2 linked regions of the Tribolium castaneum genome follow. The protein of the gene in region 2 binds, or shares a complex with, the protein of the main gene of each other region. Links are inferred from orthologs where the notes say so. Each region holds a gene or a part of one and is shown on either strand. Other genes may lie near its edges.

What was found. Proteins that work in one complex are often made in the same cells at the same time.
Region 1: the proteins of cilia- and flagella-associated protein 36 (region 2) and ADP-ribosylation factor-like protein 3 are in contact, whole or in part, in a crystal structure (PDB 4ZI3), measured with the Mus musculus proteins. The link is inferred for Tribolium castaneum from reciprocal best matches to the Homo sapiens genes CFAP36 and ARL3. Residues at the interface, in NP_080016.1 of Mus musculus: Glu44, Glu45, Ser46, Lys47, Leu48, Thr51, Glu52, Lys58, Val61, Glu62, Leu65, Glu76, Phe79, Gln80, Cys83, Thr84, Ala88, Lys89, Leu97, Val100, Leu101, Ala103, Glu104, Asp105, Phe106, Thr107, Ile108; in NP_062692.1 of Mus musculus: Leu3, Leu4, Ile6, Leu7, Arg8, Lys9, Leu10, Lys11, Ser12, Arg19, Lys35, Glu40, Pro47, Thr48, Gln49, Gly50, Phe51, Asn52, Ile53, Lys54, Trp66, Ile74, Tyr77, Ser80, Tyr81.

The regions. Positions count from the first base shown.
Region 1 is NC_087395.1:18,694,835-18,699,052, reverse strand, and holds the start of ADP-ribosylation factor-like protein 3, read right to left. Parts: upstream 2,825-4,218; 5' UTR 2,701-2,824; coding exon 2,698-2,700; intron 548-2,697; coding exon 287-547; intron 237-286; coding exon 1-236. Other genes in the region: RCC1 domain-containing protein 1, read left to right, coding at 2,825-3,321, 3,369-3,652, 3,704-3,867. UniProt on the Homo sapiens protein: Small GTP-binding protein which cycles between an inactive GDP-bound and an active GTP-bound form, and the rate of cycling is regulated by guanine nucleotide exchange factors (GEF) and GTPase-activating proteins (GAP).
Region 2 is NC_087396.1:17,347,659-17,351,116, reverse strand, and holds cilia- and flagella-associated protein 36, read left to right. Parts: upstream 1-1,437; 5' UTR 1,438-1,684; coding exon 1,685-1,787; intron 1,788-1,833; coding exon 1,834-2,003; intron 2,004-2,055; coding exon 2,056-2,282; intron 2,283-2,331; coding exon 2,332-2,435; intron 2,436-2,484; coding exon 2,485-2,576; intron 2,577-2,624; coding exon 2,625-2,882; 3' UTR 2,883-2,927; downstream 2,928-3,458. Other genes in the region: zinc finger protein-like 1, read right to left, coding at 108-315, 363-622, 667-860, 910-1,021, 1,070-1,171. UniProt on the Homo sapiens protein: May act as an effector for ARL3.

The sequences.
Region 1 (4,218 bases), on a different chromosome or scaffold from region 2:
CTGACACCGTCGCCTCGGACGGCCGTACAGGCCTGGATTTGCCAGGGTCGGTCTTTAATACTCGGCAAACCCAAAGCCTGGGCCAAATCCGCGGCGGTGAGAGCTTCAGGAAGATCTTGTTTGTTGGCGTAGACTAACAAAGGCACGTCTTGGAGTTTATCGTCGGTCAGAAGCTCGTATAATTCGATTCCGGTCTCTTCCAAACGTTTCTTATCAGACGAATCCACAACATAAATCTAGAACAAGCCAAACTAGAAACAGCCGTTTTTGGGGGCGAGAAAATTACCAAAACGTCGGTATTTTCGAAATAGTTTTTCCAGTAAGGGCGGATCTTGCGCTGTCCCCCTATATCCCAAACGTTCAGTTTGAAACCTTCAGATATGACCGACTTTATGTTAAAACCGGCTGTGGGTGTTATGTGATTAATGTCTTCAGATGCCAGGGTCTTGAGGATGGTCGTTTTGCCCGCATTGTCCAAGCCCAGGAGAAGCAAACGCAATTCGCGCTCAGGGGCGGCGCGAAGCTTCCGCAAAAGCGACAAAAGACCCTAAAAGTTAATTATTAATTGATTTTTATCCAATCTACAATGATATAAGGTATGAAAACTATGAAACCGTATAAAATTAAAGTGACGATATTGGTCAATAAAAAATAAATCCCCTTGCCCCTGAGCAGCAATTAGTAGGCAGCACACATTACACAGCTGTGTAAACTGAGCAGGTATTTTGGCGTCGTAGCCTGTTCTTGTTACCACGTTAAATGTTAAATAAAAATATAAAACGGTCAGATCACATTATTAACGGTTATATGTAATAGAACAAAATTCATACAGAGTGTTTCACATAATTTTATGAGCCCGCGCCTGTAAATTGCCACCAACAATACAGATTCGGAAACGAACTCGGATTACAAATTTTGAAAAATTGTATAGTCATACCTTCAAACATTACAACGTTTTAAGTTAGTTAAGGATTAAAATAAATAGATTAGAATCATGTCAATTTTGTCTCTTGATAGAACACAATTATTATTTCTGTAAACCTACAATTAATGAATATTAATAAAATAGTGATTAGTTTTACAACTACTGTATTTTATTGATCTAGTGTTTTGTGACTTTTATATACGGAGTGTCCGTTTTTCGAGCTCCTCCATGAGAATCTCAATTATTTTAAATTTTTGAATAATTATTCCGATAGAACGAAAATTTGTAAGTTTTGTTTTTAGTTTTTCAAGCGAAAATCAAAAGAACTATACGTTTTTAACTAGGACGCATTTTTTTACAAGGAATCTAAATGTATCATCGTATTTTCCAAGGCGTTGTTGATATCAGAGTTACAACGCTCAACTCTGGTTTTTCTTATTGAAACCATACACATTCGCTTTATGTATTTTTGAAAAATGTTTTTATTCCTGATTACAACGATGTATCACATGATTTGGTCAAATCTTATATGCTGACCAAAATGGAGAAAAAAGCATTTTTGCGAAGAGTGCTTTGGAAAAAACGTCAACAATGTTGTTTTTAAACAAACTAGATTTTAAAAATTATTATTAAAAAAATAAAAAAAAATATTTATTAGTATTAAGTTTTCAATAAACTATTAAAAAAACAGTTACCTTTTTTATGAAATTTTTTTTATTTCATAAATCTGGGGTTAAATTACAATTAATTTACTTTACTAGTTTGTATAACACAACTTTTAGGAATGTAGTCCTAGTTACGAATAGCAGTCGTTATTACGACAGTTAAAAAGGTCGTCTGGAAAAACGTACGCTCCGGAACTTAAAGGCATTGGTAACATAAAAAACAACTTTGTTTTAAATGATATTGAAAACGCTAATTACAATAGTGGAAACCGTTTCTCTGTATCTGCTCTCTAAATCAAGTTATTTAAAGTTGAAATTATGACGTCATAGCCGCCTATCGAACATTTGGTTCAATATTATAATCAAATGGTTTTTGACTTTAAGTGACACTGATAAAATTTATCAAGAAGTTGAAAACAAAATGTAGAACAGAAAAAGGAGTTATTTTTTTATTTTTTGGTCACTTAGAGGGTTCAGTAATAAAAGGATTCTATGAGAGGCGGTTGTGACGTCACGTTTTTTTTTTTCGATTATCTCGCTTATTTTATTTTTCATCGCAGGAAGTTTTAAATGAACGAAATGGCAATTTTGACAATATTTTGGACGAAACAAATCATAATTTCGATTTTGAAATTCTTTTGAATTGAAACTCTCGTTAGGAATGTCGTCATTTATATTGCGATGTAAAGTATAAAAGTGTTTTAACTGTTCCAAATGCTGTGCGGAATTAGAACAAGATTTACAAGAGTTGTGGTGCATTATAAATAGAAAAGATAGAGTTGGGTTGATAAAATCGTCAGGAGTCGTTAAAATATGTTTCGACTATAGAAAGTTGTTGAAAATGTTTTATTATAATAAATAATAACATTAATAAGTAATAGGATTATTGTTTTTATCACTCCTATTGATAAATTTGTTTTTGCGCCTGCAGTTTATGCACCAAACTACACTCGCGTGTATATTTGGCTGCCTAGCCGATTGTATACAAAGTGCCGTAACCATGGTGATTGTTTGACAAGTGTGTCATTTACAATAAGAAATTTATTGTAAAACGCCTTTAATTAGTATTTAAACCGTAGTTTTATTATTTATTATTAAAATCCTCACCATTTGGGACCTCCTCCAGCCGAAGTCAAGTCAAAAAAGCAAGGAAATAGCTGCGAAAAGGGTCAAAGTTGTGAGACAACACCAAACACAAAACTGTCAACGTAAATAACTTAAACAAATCGATACCATGAAAGTGTATTACAATGGGTTCAACCTCCATCGCCAGTTCCCCAGCCCACAAGACTTGGTAGTAAATTTTATCGATCACGTGTACCGGGACTTGGAAAATATCGAGGTTAGCTACCACTTCGCTGTATTGTTGGTTGCGAACGTTGTGGCGTTTCGAGGCGCGAAAAATGAAACAATTCCCGTGGAAGGGAAAATTCGACAAATTTCATGCAACGAAGACAAAGTTTTGGTGCTTTTGACTAATGGAGACTTGTTAAAAATAACGGAATCTGTGATAAAAGTGCCAAAATTGATGGGTTTGGATGACGATGACACCGTTGTTCAAATTTCGACTGGATCCAAGCTTTGTGTAGCTTTAACGAAAAAGGGACTCTTGTACAATGTGCCAAATAAGTTAGAATTTGTAAGCGGGGATATAATTGAGGTGAAAACGGGCCGCGAACATTGCTTACTTTTAGACAAAAGCGGAAATGTTTTTAGCTTTGGTAGGGGAAGGTGGGTGCTAGTGGCCAATTGGGACGGAAGTAATCTTATGTTTTTAGTCGCGGACAACTTGGGCATGGATGTCTGGATGATGAATCCGAACCTAAGTTTATAGAAGCGTTAGGTGGTGTGAAAATTGAGGCTATTGAGGCAGGAGGCTGGCATTCGTGTGCTTTGAGTAAAGAGGGGGATTTATACGTTTGGGGGTGGAACGGAAGTGGACAGTTGGGTTTAGGGGGAAGTGATGATGGGGTGTCCATTATGGCAACGCCTCAAGTCTTAGATTTTGATTTTAATATTAAAAATGTTGGCTGTGGTAATAAACATACAGTTGTTTTGACAGGTGATTGGTTAGTGCTTTAGTTTGATTGGATGTGACGTTTGGTGGTTTCAGATGAGGGAAAATTGTTTGGCTGTGGTTGGAATAAATACAAACAGTTGAAGAACGACGAAAATGAGGTTTTTCGTGAGTTGATTTTCCTGTGGGATTTTTCAAAGGAAGTTGTGAAGTGTCTAAAGTGTGGTCCTTGGAATACGCTGGTGTTGTGTACAGGGTGACTCGGATAAGAAGGGCGGGATGAAATAAAACAACCATGAACATTTTAATGTAGTCCACAGTATAATAAATACTGGTATACTTCAGAATTACATTATAAATATACAATGTGTATGGTATTTTTTTGTATTTTTGTGGTTTTTAAAATATTTTCTGAAAATAACAATTTCCCACAAAGCAATTGTTCAAACATCTAACTTTAATAAAACATGATTTACAAGTCACAGATATTTACGAACAAGAACACGTTGTATTTTAGGAAAAAAGCTAGAAAACTTAAAAAAATATAATAATAAAAAAGTGAAAAAACGATTTGCAACAACAAACAAAACGGACCGTCTAGCCTTTTTCCT
Region 2 (3,458 bases):
GTTGGATTTGTACAAAAACTCAGAACACTTGTTTAATCATTTATTAATTCCAATATGTACAAATTATAACTGTAAATAGAGCGTAGAGAATAGAAAAATATTCACAATCAATCAAGAGCTTGCATGTGTTGAACATGGATATTGGGATTATTCCTTATATCAAAATTGGGATCATTATCGGTGCTATACCTCCCTAACCGCGACATAATCAACATAAGAACGACGATTCCCAGCACAAGGATAATCCCCAACATGCAATACTTCTTATAAATAGATTTCCCACCTCTCACTTTTGAGGGCCCTCCAAAGGTTATCCTGGAAAAATTGAGATAAAAACAATCCCAATGTTGAAACGCGCTTACCTCCACCAAGTCTTCATTAATTCGCTTGCAGGCCTCCTCTTATACTTGTCTTCATCATGGTCAAAAACCACCGGTTTGACCTCCCTCACATCTTGGAAAATTCGCCTGTTTGAAGACGCCTGATATGCCTCAGCCCCTGTCCTACTGAAAGCCCCTTGATCCTCCACATTCACAACGGAGTGCGACGGATTCGGAGACTTACTCGTTGATACAGACGACGTGTGATTGACCACAGCCTTCACTTCCCTCTCTTCAGACAACTAAAACCCCATATCAAACAAAATAAATAAAAGCTTATTTATACCAATGGGAGCCCCAAACCCGCCCTGGCCCAGTTAACCCCCGCCAACTTCTCCTTCAAGACATCAGCAACAGGGCTGATTAAGTTTGAAGGAGGAAACAGTGGGCTCTTGCACGAAGGGCAAGTATACCCTCGGGGGGCTGTCGTAGGCGGCAGCTGACGTGAAAAATGATCCAAACACGACCAGTGAAACACATCTGAAACTCGCCAAATTGAAACTAGAGCATTGTAGGTAAGGGGGCTTACGGTAACAAGTTAGTCTAATACTGTCCTCCACGTTCAGTTCTTTGCTACACAACTCGCATATTGAGTTGTAGTCGCTGTCTTGTAACCACTGCAAATAGGACTGGACCACGCACTACGCAATTTTGTTAAAAACGATAGGCAATTGAGGGAAAAAACTTACAATTGGGTGGTTTGTGACCATACAATTTTCACAAACACAGACTCGATGTTCGAAGCAAAATTGGTTTGTGACGCGACGTTTTGGGCATTTGCAAAGCCCCATTTCGATTTTTGGGAAAAACCAGATGTACTTTTTCAATAACAAATAAAATACATGGGGGCCACGTAAATGACGTTTGTGACAACAAAGTGACAGATTTTTGACGCACAAGTGGAATGGCGTTCGAATGTTAGTGTTGTGTCGCTTGAACCGAAAGCTGGTCCAGCCGATTTTTTTTTAAATAAAATTGATTGAGTTGAATGTAATTTATGTATTACTGTTTTGAGGCGATGTATCTTTTAATATTAGAAAATATGTAGTTTTAAAACCACTTCTAAGTTTAAACCAGGTTTTAATGAAAAAAATCAAATTTCTAAAAGCGCTTAATTTGCCCAAAATTAAATATTACAAAAATATCTAGAAATTCAGTGACTGAGTGCAATAAACCCATATCAGCCCACAATGGGAGGCACCACCATTGGATATTTAGTTGTCATGACTACCCCAACGAACACAAATGTGACCCCCAGAATATTTACCATTTTGCGTGCAACACTCGCTTGAAGAAACCCAAAAATGGAAGAGGAAAATTCATGGGTTTTCGACTCTTTGGTCGCTTTCCTAAACGGCCCCATCTGGAGCGCGCCTCTGGACAGTTTCATCGAAGAAAAATCGCTGAGTAAGTCCAGGGTCCAAGTGCGTGCTTTTATTTCAAAATCTTACAGTTTTCGAACCTAACGTTACCGACAACGAGGAATATAAGAACATTTTTGACGAGTTTAAGAATTTGGTCGATTTTATGTTGGGCAATTTCATGGAAGACATCGGGATCACTCCAGAACAGTTCGAAGAAGCGTGCAATAAAGGCCACACATATCACGTCAATTTCAACCATGTAAATATTTGATCGCTTTAAATATTCATCGCTAAAATCATTACTGTTCAAGAATATTTTTGAACAAATTTGGGCCGCAAACGACTACGAAATGTTCAAACGGATGATGACCCAAAGAAATGTTGAGTTGCAGTTGGAAGCTCTTGAGCTGATCGAGAGGAAGTATGGAATCACTCCACAGTCGTTTGTTCCCAAGAAAAAGGACGACAAAGTTGAAACTGCGGTCACAATCGAAAAGTCGTCCGATTTCGAAAAGGAAATTCTAAACGAAGTGGCAAAGTCCGTGGCTGTTTCCCCAAACTGTTTTAATTAAAAAATCGAATTGTAGAAATTTTCCAAAAGAGGAAGCCTCGTCTTCTGAACCCGAGACAGAGGTTCAGTACATTTTAGAGGAGAAAGAAATCCTTGAGAAAGCTTTAAAAGAAACAAAAGGTCGCTATTTACCAACTATTAATTGTCACTTACTATTGGGTTGTTTCAGAACCGAAAGTGACGGAAGAAAAACAGAAAAAAGTTGATGTGATTAAAACGGAAACGAAGGCTGAAATAAACTACGACAGAAAGCAGACTGAGGTAAATTTTGGTTGTAGAAAAATTTGAAAAAAAAAAGTTCCCCTTTAGATAAACCCCGCCGAATTGCAAAAGCGTCAAGAATACCTCCGTGCCCAACGAGACAAGTTGGTAGCATTGAAAAAAGAAGCTAGGAAGAAACACTTGGGTTCCGACAACGGCACGAAGGATAAGGCTAAGGTTCGGCCAAAGTCGGCTAAAGCCGCCGAAGCCGTCCTTTCGGGGGAAAAACCCGAGTCTCAGCAGTTGCAGCTGCGCAAGGCGTTGGCCGAGCGGTTGAAAACGGAGGTCGTGTCAAACAAAATCTAACTTTTTGCTTATATTTATTACCTAAATATAACGAGTACATTTTTACATTTCTTTTTAAAAACATTAATTACAAATTAAAATGATAAATAGAAAATGGCCTTTAAGAACTGTATAAAAAATATCATAAGGCTGCCATTTGTGGAAGGCTGGAAGTTGCACGATTGTGCGGCTTCCAGTGACGGGCTTGGGTGATATATTCGCTCTGTTGTACGTTGCTTTGGGTGTTTGTCTTATTATACTAAAGCTAAGTCTATGAGATGTTGAGTCGAGCGAATATATCGAATTAAATTATAATATGTACAGAGACGTTTGATATATCCACATTACGAAATGAGGGCGTTTGATATTTCAAACCATTTTCTATGTAAAATACTGATCGATAAATTAAACTATAGGTTTAAAATCATTAAGTAATGTAGATTAAGAAATTAAATGGACAAAATAAAATCTTTTAAATAGGAATAAACATAATTTATTCATCACAATAATTACAAAATTAAAGTTAAGAATAAAATATTGATTTAGTCTAGCTTTACACTTCATACTGCCACATTTCTATGGAATTAATAATTACAA